2 linked regions of the Tribolium castaneum genome follow. The protein of the gene in region 2 interacts with the protein of the main gene of each other region in a biochemical or structural test. Links are inferred from orthologs where the notes say so. Each region holds a gene or a part of one and is shown on either strand. Other genes may lie near its edges. The genes, in order: sau and Mhcl.

Region 1 (9,409 bases), on a different chromosome or scaffold from region 2:
GCCATAAAATGAATGGTTTAATTAAGTTAACGGCGGTAATTTAACTTACCTTGTGATTTCTTCGAGGAGTTTGCAGGGATCGGCGGCGTAAAATTTGACTCCAAAATAGAAAGTGAAAGGATCAGGTCCTTTAATTTGTTTGCTTAGAGTTTTGGCTGGGTCGAGCCAGTGCTGGTTGGGACAAACGCTTTGAATAGAATTTGTCAATTAAAAAGACTTACAGTTTGTCCGGTTTGGTCTAAATATCGCAAGCCGAAATAGGCCGTTTCGAGTAGATTTAAATTGCGAAAAACGACGTCGAGTAAAGCTTGTCCGGTGCAAGAATCCTAGAAAAAGAAAGTGTGAAATCGCGAACAATGAATAAAAAGATTTCTCTAAACCGATAAATATAATCAATTAGTGGATGGTCGAAAGTTGATTGTTCGCGAAGCCTTGAGTTCAAGTCGAATTCATAATTTTGTGCAATGGTATATAATCATGAAAACGTCTGTACGGTTTTGAATATTTTTCAACCGCAAAGCGGGATCGAGGGCAGGAATAATTACGTGTGTCTAGACACCAAATTACTACTTTGAGAAATTTTCTTAAATCTGTTAGGCATTAATTGTTAAGCCGCGCCCAAACATTTTATCACGCAATATTGTTTCATCGGCGAGCTGAAAATTATTGAAAATAAAACTACAGACGTGTCACTGACTCACGATGATGTAACAACAGTGACCAAAACGGTCATACTCACTTCGATCTCGTGAATTAGCTCTTGTTCATCCAAAAGAATTATTTTGCAGTGGATTACTCTCGGTTTCGAACAAATACAGTCCATACTAAGTAAAAACCTGAAATATAACATAAGTCGATAAGCAATTAATGGATGCGCTAATGGATATAATCTTGTGAAGAATTGGCCGCTGTCTTATTTTGGCGCGATTTTTTACCAAACAAAGACAACTCTTATTCTGATATATTAAGGGCCATTATATTTGCCACTCTTTCTTGACAATGGGATGTAGTTGTGAGTAGGTGATAATCGAGTTCAGTGACTTACGAGGGTGGACACCACAGTCTTAACAAATTACGCAGCTTATTAACCAGACAATAAAAATAATCCTCACTGAAAATAACCACACGCGAGTTATTTGAATAAATTTCGTATGCGTACAACAGTCATGTTAACGTGCACTGATTACAATATACCTCGTTAATTTGTTTATTTTATCGAAATTTTTGTTGGAATTTGAATGATGCCACCTACATCCGTTACACACATTAAAGAGTTTCGACGTGAACAATATTAGATTATCGGAGATAAAAAATGATGCTTTCCACCCGACATCGCCCCACATTCTTCTCCCAAAACCTTCTCAGGATGCAGGTTGAAATAGGCGGCCATATAGTCACGAAATTGCTATGCATTAATTATTTTCGGCCCCGAGCTACAAAATAATTTTAGTCCACTAGTCTCGAAACTCTTTCGGGTTTTACAATATCGTAATTAATCTTCATGATCCTAATAATACGTTTAAACAACACTCGAAATACCATCTTGAGAAATAAGCAATTTTTCCCGGCCTGGCGTTTTACGAATTCAAAAATGTTTCCCATTTCAATCATTTCATTAATGACTGTCTCCAAGAAGCTCAGTTACGAGCCACTTTTGCATAATTCAATTAAGCCCAGCCGAATCGTGCCACAATTTTCAAACGATTGAAACTTAAAAATTAGGAAAAATTCCGGTGGGAAACACAAACCACGGAAGTGGTTTTCAAACAGAGCAGCTGTGACCACCAAAACCGAAACTTACAATTCACCAAACAAAAAATGATTAATTTCAAGCACAAACGGAACGAAATTATTAATTGAGTGAGTTTGATGATTGTTCTAGTGTGAGTTGACCCGCCTCCGATGTGTTAAACAATGAATTTTTGCGTGTGTGCTCGCACACACCGAATGAAAGTATCATTGTCTTACCTGGAGTGGCCGTGAAAATAATCCTCAACTCGTAATAAATAAAATCAATTAATCATCGTTATTAAAATATAACTCAACATCACTCCACTGCACTAGCAATATACAGTTAAATAGCGATGTACATCCTAGGCCATTCAACTTTGAAGTTCAGTTTTAAATCAAGGTACAGGTAAGAACAGCACACCACAGAGACCTGCTTCTAACTACAGAAGAGAACAACCGACCCATGGAAATTGACACGGTAAATTGCTTACATGCTGTTCGGTTTACGAATCGTCTTGGCAAGTGAAGAGGTGGGAAAACGGGTCTAATTTACTGATCTGTAAAATGATTTCTGGGCCCAGGTAAGCCCCCATCGGGTCCCAGCCCTACTCCTCGCCGTTTCCGGTCACCGGACACGAAACAACGCAATATTTTACTCGCCGTCAACCGTTAGCGGCGTCAAATTCCCGGTAATTAGTCCAGTTATACCAGATTTGATTAGTTGCTAATAAAAAGTTGGAAAAGAAACGTGGACTCATTTCCTCAACATCCGATGTAACTGGTTTCAGTCAACCGGCAAACTCCGGAGGGCTATTAAAGGCCTTGCCGCCACCTTTCAAACCATCTGTTTTGCATGAACAAAGACGGCTTCACCTTTCCGAATTCGGTGTGGGTGATAATTGATAAAATATTCGCAAACTAATTTCATTATAATCCCGAATTTGCAATTAAAATCTTGCGAAAAATCCGAACAAAGGCGAAGTGAACGTTCGGCCTCTACAACCTAATCTCGTCCATTTTTAATTCAAAGTAGTTTTCCGTGAGTGCAAAACAATCAATTAAATAGGCACCCGTAAATCTCGCTAATTAAGTGGAAATAGTCCGAGTGCTTTGTCTCTGACCACCGTGACCCAGCGGAAGTTTTTTCATCCTGAGAACCGAATTATTAAGCCAATTAAGCAGGATATCATCGCTAGATTGGTGTTACGGTGTCGGAAAGATGCTAGATAGCAATGAAAGTCATTGCTCGATAATTATTGGTTGCCTAGTCGTGCAAAAAAACAAAAGAAGAGGCATAAAAATCCGACGTGTGATTGGCTAAGCATGACCAATAAGGCGACAGCAGATGATTTATTTGTTCATTTACCAATCGTCTTTGATTATAATTACTCTTTGTTTCTCGCATTCTCGCAAGATAGCGATGCACCGGAAGTTGATAATTCCATGAATGTGATTATCTACACCCACTCGGACGCCACTTTTTATTATCAACGTTGGCATGCTTTGGCAATTAACTGCGGTTCTGCGATAAGAAAAGGTAAATAAAAGTCGGAGTTATAAATATTGATACAACTTTATTTTTATAAAGAAAATGGGAATATTTTAATACAAATTAAGGCTAACTCCTGCAATGAGAGTAGAATTATAATTTATAAAATAATAATAATTAGGTAATATTTGACATACATGAACAATACATTTAGTTCGAAGTTATGTACAAATAAAAGTTGGAGTACATAGTTTCCTGATGTCCGAAGCCTCTAAACATCAACGAAGCTAAACACCCTGTGTATTACCACTGAAACTGATTATCCTAGTCTAGCCTGTGTACTCCACATAGAAAAAATTTCCAATGTACAAACTAACATCACATTAAATACAAAACTGATAACTTCAATATTTCAACGTAATTTATTTATAGTTAAAATTTAGTAGCAAAAACAGTTTATTTTCATTTCGTGAAAGCGGCGAAAACGGCCCACAGTACCTCCGAAGTGTTTGGTTTGACTGATTCTTGCTCAAAGTCCAAGTCAAGTAACTCTCGTACTCGCTTTATTGCCAATTCGTAGTCGTCGTCATTTAGGGGCGCAAAAGCGTTCTCCAGAACGTCACTAGCATGGGCCAGGAAAATCAACGCCAACATCCGCTTGTCCATGCGCTGGGGGTCGTTCACCCACTTCGTAAGTACGGCATCCTGGATCTGAAAAAGCGGTTTTTTACCCCAAGCCCTCCGCCAGAAATTCAGACACACTTTGCTTAAATTCAAAATAACAAAGTATTTCCCGATCTCTAAAGGGCAAACAATAGTTAACTTGCTTTGCTGCCGAACCAGCTGAAATTTTGCATACATACGTAACCTCCGTGCTATTTAGTTTAATAAGTTAGTTAATTCTGTTAGGATTTTTTAAGACGAAACCAAACCCTTTTTTCCCACAGGAACTAACATATTAACAAGCTAAAATTCATACATACGTAATTTTGTGACATTACAATAATATATACATTATTTAATAATTTGTAAATAATTAACAATTGTAATTAATTTATCAATATCCTGGCCTTTAGTTGAAAAATGGGAATGGGACCAAATCAATTCCAAGTAAAAACACAGTACCCAAAAAATTTTTTGATGAGTTTTTTACATATTTAGCATTATTTTTACGCTTAGGTTCATTTAAATACTTATTAGCAATTCTTTTTCTAAATGAATAAACACTAACTGTAATAAAACATTCCTTTTCCCAAGGTAAAACACCGTATCTACAAAATGTCTTAGAGACAGTCAATCGTAGTCCATTTGTTTACGTAAAAATAACTCATATAGGTGTAAAAAAGAATACATTTATACAATAATATAACTTTTAATCGAACTTTTAGTTTATTATTGGCAATCTATTTTGCTTATTTAAAGCACACAGCAGCACGTTTCTTAAAGTGTCCATGGCAACATTAATAACATAATAACCCAAGAAAAGTGAAAATAAATACTAACTTTTTTAACATTTTTTATTAAAATGATAATCAATTCCATGGCAACGAAAGGTAAACTGATCTCACATTACATTATTTTCAATATTTGTAATATCAATATTTATGATTTCAAAGTGTACCAATAAAAAAACTAACGTAAAGTATTCATGTATAACTCTTTTACGAGCACTCCGGCTACGCCGTCGTGCTCGACAAATCCTGCATATTTTAAATACCTCAATATCCACTTATACTTTAATATCACGTTGTTTTAGATAATTTAATACTCACGTCTTAAACTGTCCTAAAAAAACGATATTTTTAAGTTAAACAATATGAGTAAAGAGTTAGTCATTCAAAGAGGCCGGTTAAATAAGTATTTTTTGGTCTACTGAAAGATTAAAAGCAGATACTGCATTTTAGTTCAAGGCAGTCGAATTAGAGACTAGTATTTTCCAAATATTTGTTATGCACAATCGGTGTCGAATATAATTTACACCAGAGAGTGTAAATAAATACAATAAACTATTCAATAAATAGGAAAAAATAAAGAAAAGGTGAAGAATAAGTTTTTTCTCAGAAACATACATTTGTGCTTATATCTTACAATTTTAAAATTTATAAAAGCTTTGGGAAGGAGTATTGCATAATTACCTCAGTTACACTCTTTCAAAGCTTTTACAAATTTTAAAAACTTAAACTATAAGCAAAAATGATATTTTCTATATACGACGATATAGACTACCCAGAAAACTTAACTAAAAAAAGTGAAGATTTTGAAAGTTGTGGACATAAATACACTTAATTATGTAAAAACGTAACGAAAACAAAAAAATAGAAATGAAGACAATGTAATTAGGGAATAATTCGCAAGTGTAAGTCGTATACTCTTCTTAGTACTTTACCTGCCTATCGTTAAAGTTCTACTTGATCTACTATTTAGTAGAACGGGGCACCCTTTACCACCTGCTGTATCAAAACGTACCTTTTTTATTAAACGGCTTTTGGTGACGTTATCGGTCAGAGGGTGCGTGGTCATATCAAACAGCAGAAAGTTTTGCTTCTCCGTTGTGAGAACCCCCTTCTCGACGAGGTTTTTCGCTAGGCGTTCCCGCACGTTCTTCAGCTGGTAGCGCAGTTTGAGGGGGTTCCAAGTTTCGCCTTAAAAGCACGCAATTAAGTGAACCTGGGGGCAGAAAGGGGCATTTGGAGCATACCGCTGAGGTACTCAATCCAGCTTTGAACCGTTTCTGGTGGATCTGTTTCCTTGAGATGTTTTAAAGCTTCATCTAGGAGGACGTCTCCGGTAGGTGTGTCGTTTTTGAGGATAAGTTTGCGGGTGAGGAGCGCCTTTCGGCGCATACCAGCCCGCTCGAGTTCCACACGTCCACGTAAACCTAACTCGATTAGAATACACCCCCGGAGACCGCTCGAAATGCAGTCGTTCCAAAACGATGTGTAACCCTTAAAAACGACACGGTTAGGTGTGGTGAGCACACGGGGGGCGAAGCCCTACTTCTTTGTCTTTTAAGCCTAATAATAATACTTCTTCCATTAAAGTTAATCGGGTTTCTTTGGAATCGCCCTCGTCTATGTCTTCGTCGTGCTCCTGCTTCTTCTCATTGTTCTGCGATTCTTTCACACCTTCACCTGAGTCACGTATTATGTTTCGTCTTTGCACCAGCCCTTCACTCCGATTCATTTTAATTAAATATCAAATAACTTATTTATTTTCTACAAGACTTGACGTTTAACTGACTTCCATCAACATGGCAAATGTCAAAAGCATGTAGGCTGCTGGCAGAAAACCACTCCGTCCGAAAAATCGACAAATTCGCTCACTTTCTAAGAAAATTATTCATTTCTAGTATTTAACAAACTAAACTAACCCTTCAAGCCTTTTTTTTGGATAAAAAATCAAAAATCGGGAAAAAGTGATTACGTCCTACGATTACGTCACGCTCTTATCAATTCCAATTTAATCCCTTTGTACAGAAAATCTAACAATGCCAAGTAATCAGCACCCACAATTTTTATGATTTCCCCACCACGGGATTTTTTCAAGTTTGGAAAAAATTGTTGTCGAATGGGTTGCATAACCCACCGTTTTTAACCTCACTTTTTGCCACCACATTATTTTATTTAAAAATGACCGAAAGTGATAAAGCCGAAGTTTTCAATTTTTTATTGGAGACTGGGTGTTGCAAAAGGTGCGCTTTACGCTACGTTGGCGATAACACAGCCGATTATGATAATCCACAGGTAAAAAAAAGTCGTATTTTCAACAATTAAAGGTTTTTTTTGTAGCAAAACGGACACGACCAGTTGGCGAAAAAGACGAAATTGAATTCGTGCATAATTTGTCTCGATTTGCTCCAAGATGTGACTCTTGAATCCATGGTTCAGTGTGAAGAACTGGAGGGTGTTAAGGAGTACGATTGCAAGACTTTTATTAATTTCATTAGTTTTCCGGTTGCTGTTCTAATAAGGGAACACAGCATGGAGATTCATATGAATGAGAAGTTCCCCAAGTTTTTTGAAGGTTGTTTGGTTTGCTTGTTGAAATAGTTGAAATGCTTACATTTCAGATCGTAACATTGTTCCAATAAACAGGGCATGGTCCTTGTCAATACAAAACAAACTGGGCGAAAAACTTGGCAAAAAGTTCAATAAAGATTCATTGCTCCAAATCCAGTTTAACACGACTTATGAATTTGAAAAAGAGGTAACGAAAGGACTAACCACTGCTTGTTTAAAAATTAATAAGTTGTATTAGGAGTCGTCAATTATGTTTCTGATGGAAAGTAGACTGAAAAAATCAAATGGACAAAACGAGGGTCTTAGTCGTAACGTAATCGGGGAGTTTTTAAAGACAATAAACACCGAACTTTTCAAAAAACATGCCGCTGTCCCTCCGGAACCGCCCGGGAAAGCTTTAAGTTTCGACCAAGTGGCTTACAAGCACGATTATATTTTTATAGCCGGAAGGTACTGTAAATATTCAAGAAACCTGTTTCAAACACCGTGGGCCAACGACGAAGTCCAAGTAATCAACAGTTCAGTTCAAGAAATTTTATTTAAGTCGCTGGAAAGCGTCTTTAAGTGAGTTTCATCCCTAGTTTTTGTTGTCGTAATTGTGTAACTCCAGATGCAGCAGTTTGGTGTTTTCGTCAAGTGGTCGTGAGGATTTTGACGTACGAATGCTAGGAAGAGGCCGTCCGTTTTTCGTAAAAATATGTGACCCCAAAGTCACCACAATACCATTTGAACAATTCCGCCTGATTGAGAAACAAATTGAAGAAACTAATTTAATTGAAGTCAGAGACTTGCAATTTATTTCGCGGAAGTTGCTTAACAATATCAAAGAGGGGGAACAATTTAAACAAAAGACGTACAGGGCGTTGTGTGTCGTAGACAAGCCGGAAAAAATTGGCGAATATATTGAAAAAATCAACAACATGAAAAGGGTGAAATTGCTACAAAAAACGCCCCTGAGAGTGTATCACAGGCGGTCGGCTGACGTCAGGGAGAAGGAGATTTACAACATGGAGGCAAGGCCGGTCACAGGTAGAGCGCGCTCCGAAAAAATAATAATAACTGATCATCTTAGTACGACTCATAGTCGTGAAATTATGAATAAGTTTGACCTGTTAATTGATTACGGTTGTTGTAAAATTTGTAAATATTTTGATTGGGCGGTTTGAGGTCGGCCATTAAAATTACGGAGAAAACCAATCCCTTTAGGTTCCTTGGTTCATTGAGAAATTAGATTTTTGGATATGATTGGTCCGTTTGAGGTCGGCCATTAGAATTACGGAGAAAACCAATCACTTTAGACTATTTTGATTCATTGAAAAAAATATTTTTTTGGATATGATTGGTCCATTTAAGGTTGGCCATTATAATAAAGTGAGAAACCAATCACTTTGAATTTTTGGACTTATTCATTATTATTTTAATTGAATGTTTAGTTTGACAGCTGTCAAAAAATAAACGATGTTTTTTTAAACGGCTTTAATGCTTCCCTAAGTCAAAAGTTAAGTGAAAAAATCGTCAGCAACTCATCTCAATTGCAAAAAGTTTTGTTTATTTATTGTTTTTTACCTGAAAATTTCGTTAAAAAAATTACGTTGAAGTTAAAGTTTTGCCAAAAAGACTATGAATTTAGGGTGCACTTCTGCTCTATGAACGCGTTATTATTGAATAACTTAGGTTCCTCGGGACGTATATCACTGCCTTTTTTGTGTCTAAATACTCTGATTCAGAATTCATTTCTCATTGAAAGAGACATACTGCACGTATCACAAAAATAGGGTAATAGTTAAAAATCAGCTTATCGTACACATATTTTAATAAAAAAGGCGTTCATAACGAAAAAAATAATTTGTGGAGGATACAACACGTACTATAATTTTATGTAATTTACTGGATATGAGCTTAAAGTTGGATCTAAAGTTAGTTCTAAACTTTTTTTCTTTGAAAAATGCACTGCAACCACAGCACAGTATTTGATAGTTGTGCCAACGTTGAAGCCGTGACATGTTCGTTAAAAAAATCTGCACGTGGCAGATTAATTTTGAAGATTTATTCAAGGATTTTTCTTTTGTGTTAGTGGACGACAAGTTTTGACGCCTACAATAAAACATAAAACCGCAAGTTTAAAGAGTGGCCAGCTATTCCACTCAGTGTTAAAATATGTACAAATTAA
Region 2 (9,352 bases):
AACGGCTTAATTTAGGTATAGGGAAGGCTTATGAAAACTACCTTAATAAATAATAAATAAATAATAAATAACTCAAGTAATCCAAAAACGCAATAAAAATCTAGCTTTCCATTTGAAATAAGCAAGTTGATAGCGACTTCCGGTATAGCCGGAAGTGCCACCATCTCGAAGATATTTTCATTGTGCAGGACCTAAGAGATTATGGTTGTATACAAATTTTCAAATGACTACCAATGTGGGGTTTAGACGGAACACCTGTAGTTTTACTGAACTTTTTTTAAATTTTTTTGTAGAGGAGCTGGGACGTGTTATGCGTTCGTTAGGCCAATTCGCCCGAACCGAAGAATTGCAACAAATGCTCCAGGAGGTGGATGTTGACGGTGACGGAAATGTCAGTTTTGAGGAATTTGTTGACATTGCTTGGTCAGCGGGCGCTGGAGGTGACCCCGAACATGTCCTCTCGAGGGAGGAGGAAGAGAAGGAATTGAGGGACGCGTTTAGAGTGTTTGATAAACATAATAGAGGGTATATTACCGCCTCCGATTTGAGGGCGGTTTTGCAATGTCTTGGGGAGGACCTTTCAGAAGAAGAGAGTGAGTTTTATTTTTCAGAAAAACGAAAAACGCTTTATTTTTCGTTTTTTTTTTTTTTAGTTGAAGATATGATTAAAGAAGTCGATGTTGACGGTGACGGCCGTATAGATTTCTACGGTACGTTTGGCTGAATAAAGTTAAATTTTTAACAACTACATTAATTTTTTTTCAGAATTTGTCAATGCTCTGGGAGAGCCGGGCACCGAAGACAGTTACGACGACGAAGACGATGAAATAATCGGTTATTAATTTCTAAGTGTTATATCAATGTATGAATCATATCGAATTTTTACATCTGGATGTGATGTTTTCTCTGAATTTGCTGTTTGCAATAATCGTCTATTAAGGGGGTCCATAGATGTCGAAACTTCTTGACGGGTATATGGTAGCCAATTCTACAAGCTTTACAATTGGGTGATACATTTCAAATTTTTGTGTTTATTTATTTGTCGAATTAATGCTTATTATATTGTTTGAATTACATGAAATAAAACTATTCGAAACAAAAACTGAGTTAATATTTTGGGGGAAAGATATTATTTTTCATGCTTCTGCAATTTTTGTTTTGTGATTAATATTCTTCTTGTCATTAGTGTGGCTCCTGGCGGTCCGTTTTTGGACATAATTTACATAAAATACCTTCGCCAATTTTTTAGCAATTTTTTCAATCACCCATAACTAATTGTTACCAAATTTTAATCGATTTTCTTGCATTTAATTCACAAGAATTGGTTCTGATTCGGTATTTATTTCAAATTTTATCACCAGAATGACAAAAACGTCGTAAATCAACTCGTTATTTAATGGGCGATTATTAATCTCAACTATTTGAAGCACTCACTCGCTATCGCTCGTCCGTGCTTTAAATTACTCAACGCCTTCATCAAATAATTACTTAATTAAATAACTATTAATTATTGACTCTTTAACGCTAGCGTATTTATTTTTATCGGCGATAAATTCTACAAACTGAGATAACCAAAAACCTTATCTGTTGACTTTACCAAATGGAAGCGTTTGATTTACACAATTCACACCAAAAAACGTGATATTTCAAGCACTAACCACCTTCAAAATGGGGCTTTTAGTAAGGTAGGGGCTCACATTACAAATCACATTTCCACTTAATTACTTTTTTTAAATAAAGCGCTATGGCACTTGACAACAACTCCTCACAAACAATGGTAAATTTTTTTTTAATTCATTCATTTTTTCACCAAACAAACTTAAATTTTAGCCACCGCCCATCGAATTAAATAATATGCAAGCAGAAGAGGAAAGAAGGCTTCGTCAACAACCAGTAATTGACCAACAACCGACTCGATCCGAAAATTACACAGACCCTGATTGTGGAAATTGTTGCATATTTTGCATAACACCAACTCATCATCATCACCACCATCATCACGATGACTGTAATTGTTGCAAATGTGATTGTTGTTGTTGTTGTGATTTATTAGTCTGCGGAGATTGTGATTGCGATTGTGACTGTGACTGCGGAGATTGTGATTGTGATTGTGATTTCTAAATATTAAAAAAAAATAAAACAAATTCGAGTGTGAAATTCGTTTTTTTTATAACCAAATAATTTGTATTCATGGATTTTTCTCGTTCGAGAAAAACATTGAAAAAAACTGTTTAAAACACATTTTTACTAATTACTAATTAGTCATTAGAAATAATTAATTAATTAATTTTAATTATCACTTATCAGAAATTGTAGAAAAGTTCAATCCCATACAACTACTTAGTCCACCATAAAAACAAGCAAAACCACGACCTTGTATTCGTTAAATACTCGCAAGTTTTTTAACAGTGCTGTCTTTCTTTACTTGCGTCATGAGTTCTACTTAGGTAAAAATTTTTTACAAAAAAAAAATCCAGCTGAAAAACAAAGAGGCAACAGGTCAGCGATCAACAACCGCCTAGTAGTGATTTTTTCACAGCGTAGTAAATAAACATTGAAGCCACCACAAGGACTAATTATAAAACGAATAAAAACGAACAATACCGAAATTTATTTTCGTCAATGTAAAGTAACCAGTTTGCCCAACGAAATCCCGCTGTATTTGTTTACATAATTAATTTCCCTCAACATGGGTATCTGTGTCAGGTAAATAAATTCCAGTCATACAATTAAATTTAACTAATTATTTTTTGTATCAAGTTCCGTAATCCCGTCCAACAATTCAGTCCAGGTAAGCCATACATCATACACAATTATAAATTTACTTAAATTATCGATGACTCAATTATGATCTATTCCGATAGCCACCACAAAGTGTTCAAGAAATTGTACAACAACAACCGAAAAGAACAACAAATTTCGACGCCGACGACAACCCTCTTGTAACAGCAGGTTGTTGTATGTGTTGTCTCGATCCGAATTGTTGTTGTGATTGTTGTGATTGCGCTGATTGTGCGATGTGTCACTGGTGTTTCTCTTGTGATTGTTGTAGCGAGTGTAACGAGTGCTGTGGCGACTGCCTCAAAATGTGCTGTTAGCACGGTTTTTTTTAAATTTTTTGTATTTTTTAATAAAAAAAACATCCACAAACGCTTATTCTTCATTCGACAAATAAATATTATATTTAATAAACTACATAATGTCTATTTTAATGTTTAACTTAACTGTTTTAAACTGAAATCTTTTTCAAATTTCTATCGTCATTTATTTTAAAAATACAAGGCTAACTTGATTTTTTTTAATGGCACGAAGGGTCAAATTTTATCATTTTTAAAAGAGCCTTTTTTCCTGAATTCAGTGATGTTACATAATACCCACCCTTACTTTTATTAAAAGGTAAAAAAATTAAAATTCAAAAATTTTCTGGAATAGTAAAACTAAGTTAGCTTTGAAAATACTGCTGTTAGCAATATGTCACTCGTATATTAGCCAAAAAATAAACTTGGGTGCAATAATTTGTTTAATAATAGAAAACTGAACGAAAAAAAATCCTCATGTTGCTTTATCAGAGTCAGAAAGCCAAGAAGTTAGTGGAAATCATTTTGATTATCTTTTGTGGCATAAAAATCAAATATGTAATTTTTTTTTTAATTAAAACGTGTTTCTTTCAGTTAAAACTGTTATTTTTAACTTTTACTTATTTTTTGGTTAATGTTCAAACAAACTAAAGATAAAGACAAAGTTTTCAAGGCTAACAAAATTTTGCATTTTTCAAAATTTTCGATTTTTTTTTTTAAGTTTCGATTAAATTAAGGTATGTATTACATCATAGAACCCAAATATATTAAATTTGACCCTTGTTGCTATTCAAAAAAAATCAAGTTAGCCTTGTATCCGAAGAACAAATGGAAATAAAAATTTAATAAACATCTGAAACGATAGGAATTACGTACACTTTAGCATACACCAAATTTCAGTAAGTTTGGATGAACAGTTTTTATATTATTTAACTGTATCCATACTTTTTAGCGTCCCTGTATGTTGTAGGAAAATCTATTCCGGAAATACACTTATAAGAAAACCAATTTTTTGTTAAAAGTCAAATTTCTTAGTTAGCTTTGATGGCGTCACATATGGCAGCTCATTTGCTCACCAGGTGGCGCTACGTGTCATAATAATTGTAAAGGCCGTCTTGGATACAAGTAGGTCATGATACGAACTAATTGTCAAAAACATAAATAATTAAGAATGATGGCTAATTATTCCGACAGTAACCATAATTCTTAATGACTAACTTTAGCTTAAGTACTTAGTAGACCATAAAATTTAAGTACACAATAAATTGTGCTGGAGAGTTGTAAAATCATGTAATTAAAACGTACCTGGCATTCGGAGAGTCTTATCACCTTATCAGTACGGTCACAGATCACTAATAGTCCGAAATAACACAAATTAACCGATAAACACACAATTCGAACTTGTTAGCGTCACTTCTGTCAAAAATGATTGTAAAAAGTGTCGCCAACATAAAATACAATGGCGTTTTTTTAACAAAAATAATTAATTCCAGTGTTGTGCAAACTTTTATATAAGAACAAGACTTGCTTTTAGCCCCTTCCCAATAATTCCAAATGTAATTATGATTAAATTGGCAAAAAATTGCAAAAACTATTAGTTAGCAAGTCCCTTCGCTGCGTCGCTGCGTTCGCTTCGACTTTGACACTTGAAAAAATTCCGTTCCTAACCTCAAACCAGCCGCACTATGTGACAAAAGTGTGTAAAAACGGCCGTAACAATGTAAAAACAGCCCGATTAATAGCCAGTATAATAGCAAAAAAAAGTGTAAAAAATGAAATCCAAAGTGCAACTAATTTCGCAAATCAAAAAAGAGGTGAGTTTTCCGCCCAAGTTTCCCTCCCACGGAAAAACCCCGTAATAAAATCTAATACGATCGGTCCGATGAGTGCGCGTCGAAATAATCCATAAATATTTACGTTGCGAGATAAGGAGTGAGTTGTATTCGGGGTAATGTTATCAGTGATGAAGGTAGAAAGGTTGCGTAAGTCGGCACTAATTGCATTTTTCACGTTTGCAGCACCGGAAGACTCACATGCATATACCCCTCATTTTCGTGCTGGTCTCCACACTTGTTCTGTCAGTGCTGTCCGTCACTGACCTCGACTGGGAAGATAGAATTTCGATCAAAAGGGGCTTTTCACTGTTTTGTTATGGATTGGTGTTTTTCACCGTTTTGTACCTCGTTAGCAACAACCTGATGTTGCGGACGTCGCTCGGACAAAAATTCGTACGGACGTACAAGCTGGCGCCAGCGGATGTCTTTGATATTAGCAACAAGTAAGTGGCGAAAATTTCCCACAAAAACACCATTTCGACTAAATTTGGACGAAATTGTTAAATTCTGACCGGTAGGGAAGTCGTATCATAAATATTACAAAGTGTTTTAACATAGTTTTTACGCCTAAGGTATGCAACCAGCAATACATATTACATAAGAATTGCCATAATTCGTCAAATTGATGACTAATTTGTCCAGCAAGCACTCTAGATAATACAAAATGCGCTTAGGATTTTGTCGTTCAATGTTTTTTTTTTTTTTTTTTTGGAGGAAATTCAGTCATGATTTAAATATTTTTGTGTGTTTCAATATTTCACAGGCGATTTGATAATAATATTTTGTAACACTTCTTTATAAAAATTAAATATGTAATAATATGTAAGAGGTAAAAAATTATAAAAGAAAAAGAAAAAAGAAACAAATAAACAAGGACTTGCAAGTTTGTTGGCCTGTGCAAAAAAAATATTTCTACTTGAATAAAAAAATAAAAATAAAAAAAGAGAAATTTAACATAATTTTCGGTTAGTTTTTAACAAAATTTTGAGAAGTTATTGTGTTTCTGAATGATAAACATGTTAAAAATGTCATATGCAACAGAATTTAGTGATTTTTTTTAAACAAAACCACTATTATTGAACTAATAATGAATTTTTTGACTTTGTTTTTTCAAAATTTTGAGAAAATTTTGCGTCCGATTTAGTAAACTTTGACTAAGAACTGCGAATTTGGTTTTAAAATATGCTTGGACATTAAAAAAAGATAAAAATACTACAATTTTCTACCAAATTTTATGTTTTTTACATTTATTGTTTCGATTAAAAACCAACTGAAATCGAATGAAACAAACAAATTTTTTTAAAAGAGGAAAATATAACATGTTTGGTTTAATGTTTTTATTTGCACTTGTTTTTAACAAAATTTTGCGAAATAATAATTACGTTTTGTTTGGAAAACGCTCGAAAACGACACAAAATCATGTAATTATTATCTTAATTTAGCAAAATCCTCACACAAAACTAATAATCTCGTTTAGAAATACAATTTTTTTCAAGGTTTTTTGATATTTTTTTGCATATTTTGACGAAATTTTCGAGATTTTCCGGCTTGTTCTAATTTAAAATAAATTGATGAATTTTCGAAATTTTGCGAAATAACTCATAGTTCTTTGGTAGCTATTTTTTATTTATCTTAAGCCTGCGAGAACAAGCATGTTTTTACTTTGCAATAACGCGTAGGGACATTTATTACTTATTTTTTTCCAATCTAGAGCAAAAAATTTGCAAGGAGTGCATTAAATTGCTCATTTGGGAATTTGTATTTTCTAAACAAAAAAAATGAGCTTCGGAGTTTTTAAGAGGCATTTTAGTAAAAAAAAAATAGCACAAGCGTGTCATTTCAGACAAGTCTCATCCGTCCAAGTGGCTTAATTTGTGCGAGAACAAGCGTTTTTGTACTTAACAATAACGTCTAGGGACATTTATTTTTTATTTTTTTCCAATCTACAGCAAAAAATTTGCAGCACGAGCGCACGGAGTGCCTCAAATTGCTGGTATGTTGCAAAAAAACTTGTCATTTCAGACAAGTCTCAGCCGTCCAAGCCCTCTTCTGTTGCATCACGGGCCTCACCAGCTGCACCTATTCCTGCACCAGAGACATGCTCCACACCTCTCACTACATCTCAGAGGCATATGCCTGGTTTGGTGCTGCGTATTTTTTCTACGACATTTGGTCGATGTACAAAGTTCACAATGCCAAAGTTGTGCAAGCCAGCATGAATGGCGATGTTAAACGAACAGGTGTTAAATTTTTCAGCTATTTGAAAAGTCATGCTGTCATCGTAGGACATCACATTTTTATCGGTGGCTTTGGGTTTTTAGTTATAACGGTTGGTAGTAATTTTTTATGTGTGACATTCTATATAATGCCAAATTCAAGTATTTGAGAGGTGGCCTTGGTGATTGTTTCTTCGGATTCGTGTACCTGATGGAGGCTAGCACTCCTTTTGTGTCCTTGAGGGGCATTTTGTCAAAGATCGGCATGAAATCGTCCATTTTGTACGTAATCAATGGCCTTGTGATGTTGGGGACGTTTTTCGTCTGTAGGGTGGCAATGTTCCCCTGTGTGATATACTTGTACGCACGCAGCGTCGACTTGGATTATTTTTCCGTAAGTTACATTCTGCGGAATAACCCTGTATTTCACTACTATTGGTTATACAGGGTTATTCTTTAAAATGCATTTTTCTTTTGTTTACAGGCGATTCGATCGCTGCCGACTGGATGTAAGGTGAGCATCGTGATCCTGTTGCTGCCGCAAGTGTACTGGTTTCTGTTGATGGTGAAAGGAGCCTCCCAAGTGCTCAAAGGCAAAGTGACCAAAAAGAAGACATTGAAGATGCATTAACTAAGACTTGTAATCCGAGCTTAGCGCTTTAAATAAATATTACATATACGATTTGATGACCAGAAAAAGACGAATTTACGTGGATATTGCTATTTCTGGATAATGTTTAACACGTCGCATCAATGTCGTTATTACTGTGATTGTTGATTATTTTGTTTATTTATTGAAATGGGTTCGTGCTCGATTCAAAGACTTGTAGTATTTTTTCGCATTTCGCACCAATTTTCGTGCACAAACTTGTTGGAAACGTACCTTTTGTAACTTATTAACATTTATTATTGTAAATGACTGTTTTATAAGTCACTAAGTGTAGGAAAAGATAAAATAAAGCGATATTAAAAAGTCGTGTTTTAAACAAGTCTCCCCTTACCTTACAAAAACAAACAGTAGAATAAACACCACGTGACTAAAAAAAGTGGTAAATAAGTGCATAGATAAATGGAATTAAAAAGTGGTGAAATTTAATCCGTCGTTAAAAGTTAAGACGCTAATGGACCAATCACATTTGTTCAATTTGGTCACGTGATCATTTAATGGCGGATTAAATTAATGACGTTTCTACAAACCGGTCCCTAGAGTCAAAAACTTCAGTGCTATTTATAGAAACGCAAAGGGGGCAAAATTTGAGGATAAAATAGCCCTCCTAGTGCGTGACGTCTGTTCAAATTTCAAATGCCTACGCCCCCTTACTACCAACCCAAGCAAACGCAAATCCCCGATTAAAAAAACGAAAATTAGGCCTTATTTCAGCGTTATAATCATGAATTTGGTACAAAAACACTCGTTTGTGTTTTGCAACGTTTGAAAATCACACCCCGTCCAGGAATTGGCGCAAAATCGTAAAAAATTTGGTGACTTTTTTGTGCAAGATGTCGCCACAAGTGCATTTGACGTTTCAAAATATTCGCACAGGCATCCCGAACTGATATAGCCAAATCAAACCCTCACTGAAATAGGTTTTACTGATGATGCGGATAGATGGCCTTAGTGTTTTACGGGAAAAAGAAATCCTATTGGCGGATTTAAAATTTCATATTATTGAAGAAAAACGTGGTACCGATGCGCGGCTGACAAGTAAAAATTTCACAAACGTCAGCAAAATTTGAGTTTTTTTTTTATAATATCACGTTAATTTTTCAAAGTTTTGTTAAGATAGTGGTTCAAGGTGTAGTGTTTGGGTTAGACTATTGCCTACTATCGGTTAGGAACAACATGATCTCCAAGAATATAACGTAGTAATGAGCTCCAGAAGGTTTTCGTAGATAGGTGCGTTTTTCCCAAAAGTGAGTTTTTTGAGACCGAACCGCAAGTGAGTCACACTGCGAGGAAACTCCCATAGACAGAAGTTGCAAACATAAGGTGCCAGTTTGGCTGATTACAAGTATGTCTTTATCATCGATTCGGTGACGACTATTAGTTTTGTAAACTTAATGAATTTAATAAATATCTTTAATATTAAATGTGTTTAGATTGTGTCATGTTGGGTAAAATTCTTCCATCTGTGCTGTCTGTGCATCCACCTTTTCAAATACAATTAGAAAATTTTCATAATAGTTGTATTTGATAAGGTTTTGACATCATTTTGACGTGAGC

What was found.
Region 1: the proteins of Mhcl (region 2) and sau form a complex in vitro, tested with the Homo sapiens proteins (2 studies listed by IntAct). The link is inferred for Tribolium castaneum from reciprocal best matches to the Homo sapiens genes MYO18A and GOLPH3.

Annotation. Positions count from the first base shown.
Region 1 is NC_087403.1:8,420,068-8,429,476, forward strand, and holds sau (Golgi phosphoprotein 3 homolog sauron), read right to left. Parts: upstream 6,404-9,409; coding exon 6,218-6,403; intron 6,166-6,217; coding exon 5,919-6,165; intron 5,863-5,918; coding exon 5,687-5,862; intron 3,932-5,686; coding exon 3,683-3,931; 3' UTR 3,286-3,682; downstream 1-3,285. Other genes in the region: band 4.1-like protein 4, read right to left, coding at 50-171, 222-326, 740-836, 1,046-1,111, 1,195-1,343; tRNA pseudouridine synthase Pus10, read left to right, coding at 6,850-6,963, 7,009-7,243, 7,290-7,426, 7,478-7,803, 7,850-8,268. UniProt on the Homo sapiens protein: Phosphatidylinositol-4-phosphate-binding protein that links Golgi membranes to the cytoskeleton and may participate in the tensile force required for vesicle budding from the Golgi.
Region 2 is NC_087401.1:16,437,303-16,446,654, reverse strand, and holds the start of Mhcl (unconventional myosin-XVIIIa), read right to left. Parts: upstream 4,481-9,352; 5' UTR 4,390-4,480; coding exon of another isoform or gene 4,383-4,389; intron 1,103-4,382; exon of another isoform or gene 843-1,102; coding exon of another isoform or gene 766-842; intron 711-765; coding exon of another isoform or gene 654-710; intron 594-653; coding exon of another isoform or gene 294-593; intron 1-293. Other genes in the region: calmodulin, read left to right, coding at 294-593, 654-710, 766-842; TLC domain-containing protein 3A, read left to right, coding at 4,850-4,891, 5,096-5,355, 6,935-7,241, 7,292-7,522, 7,613-7,759.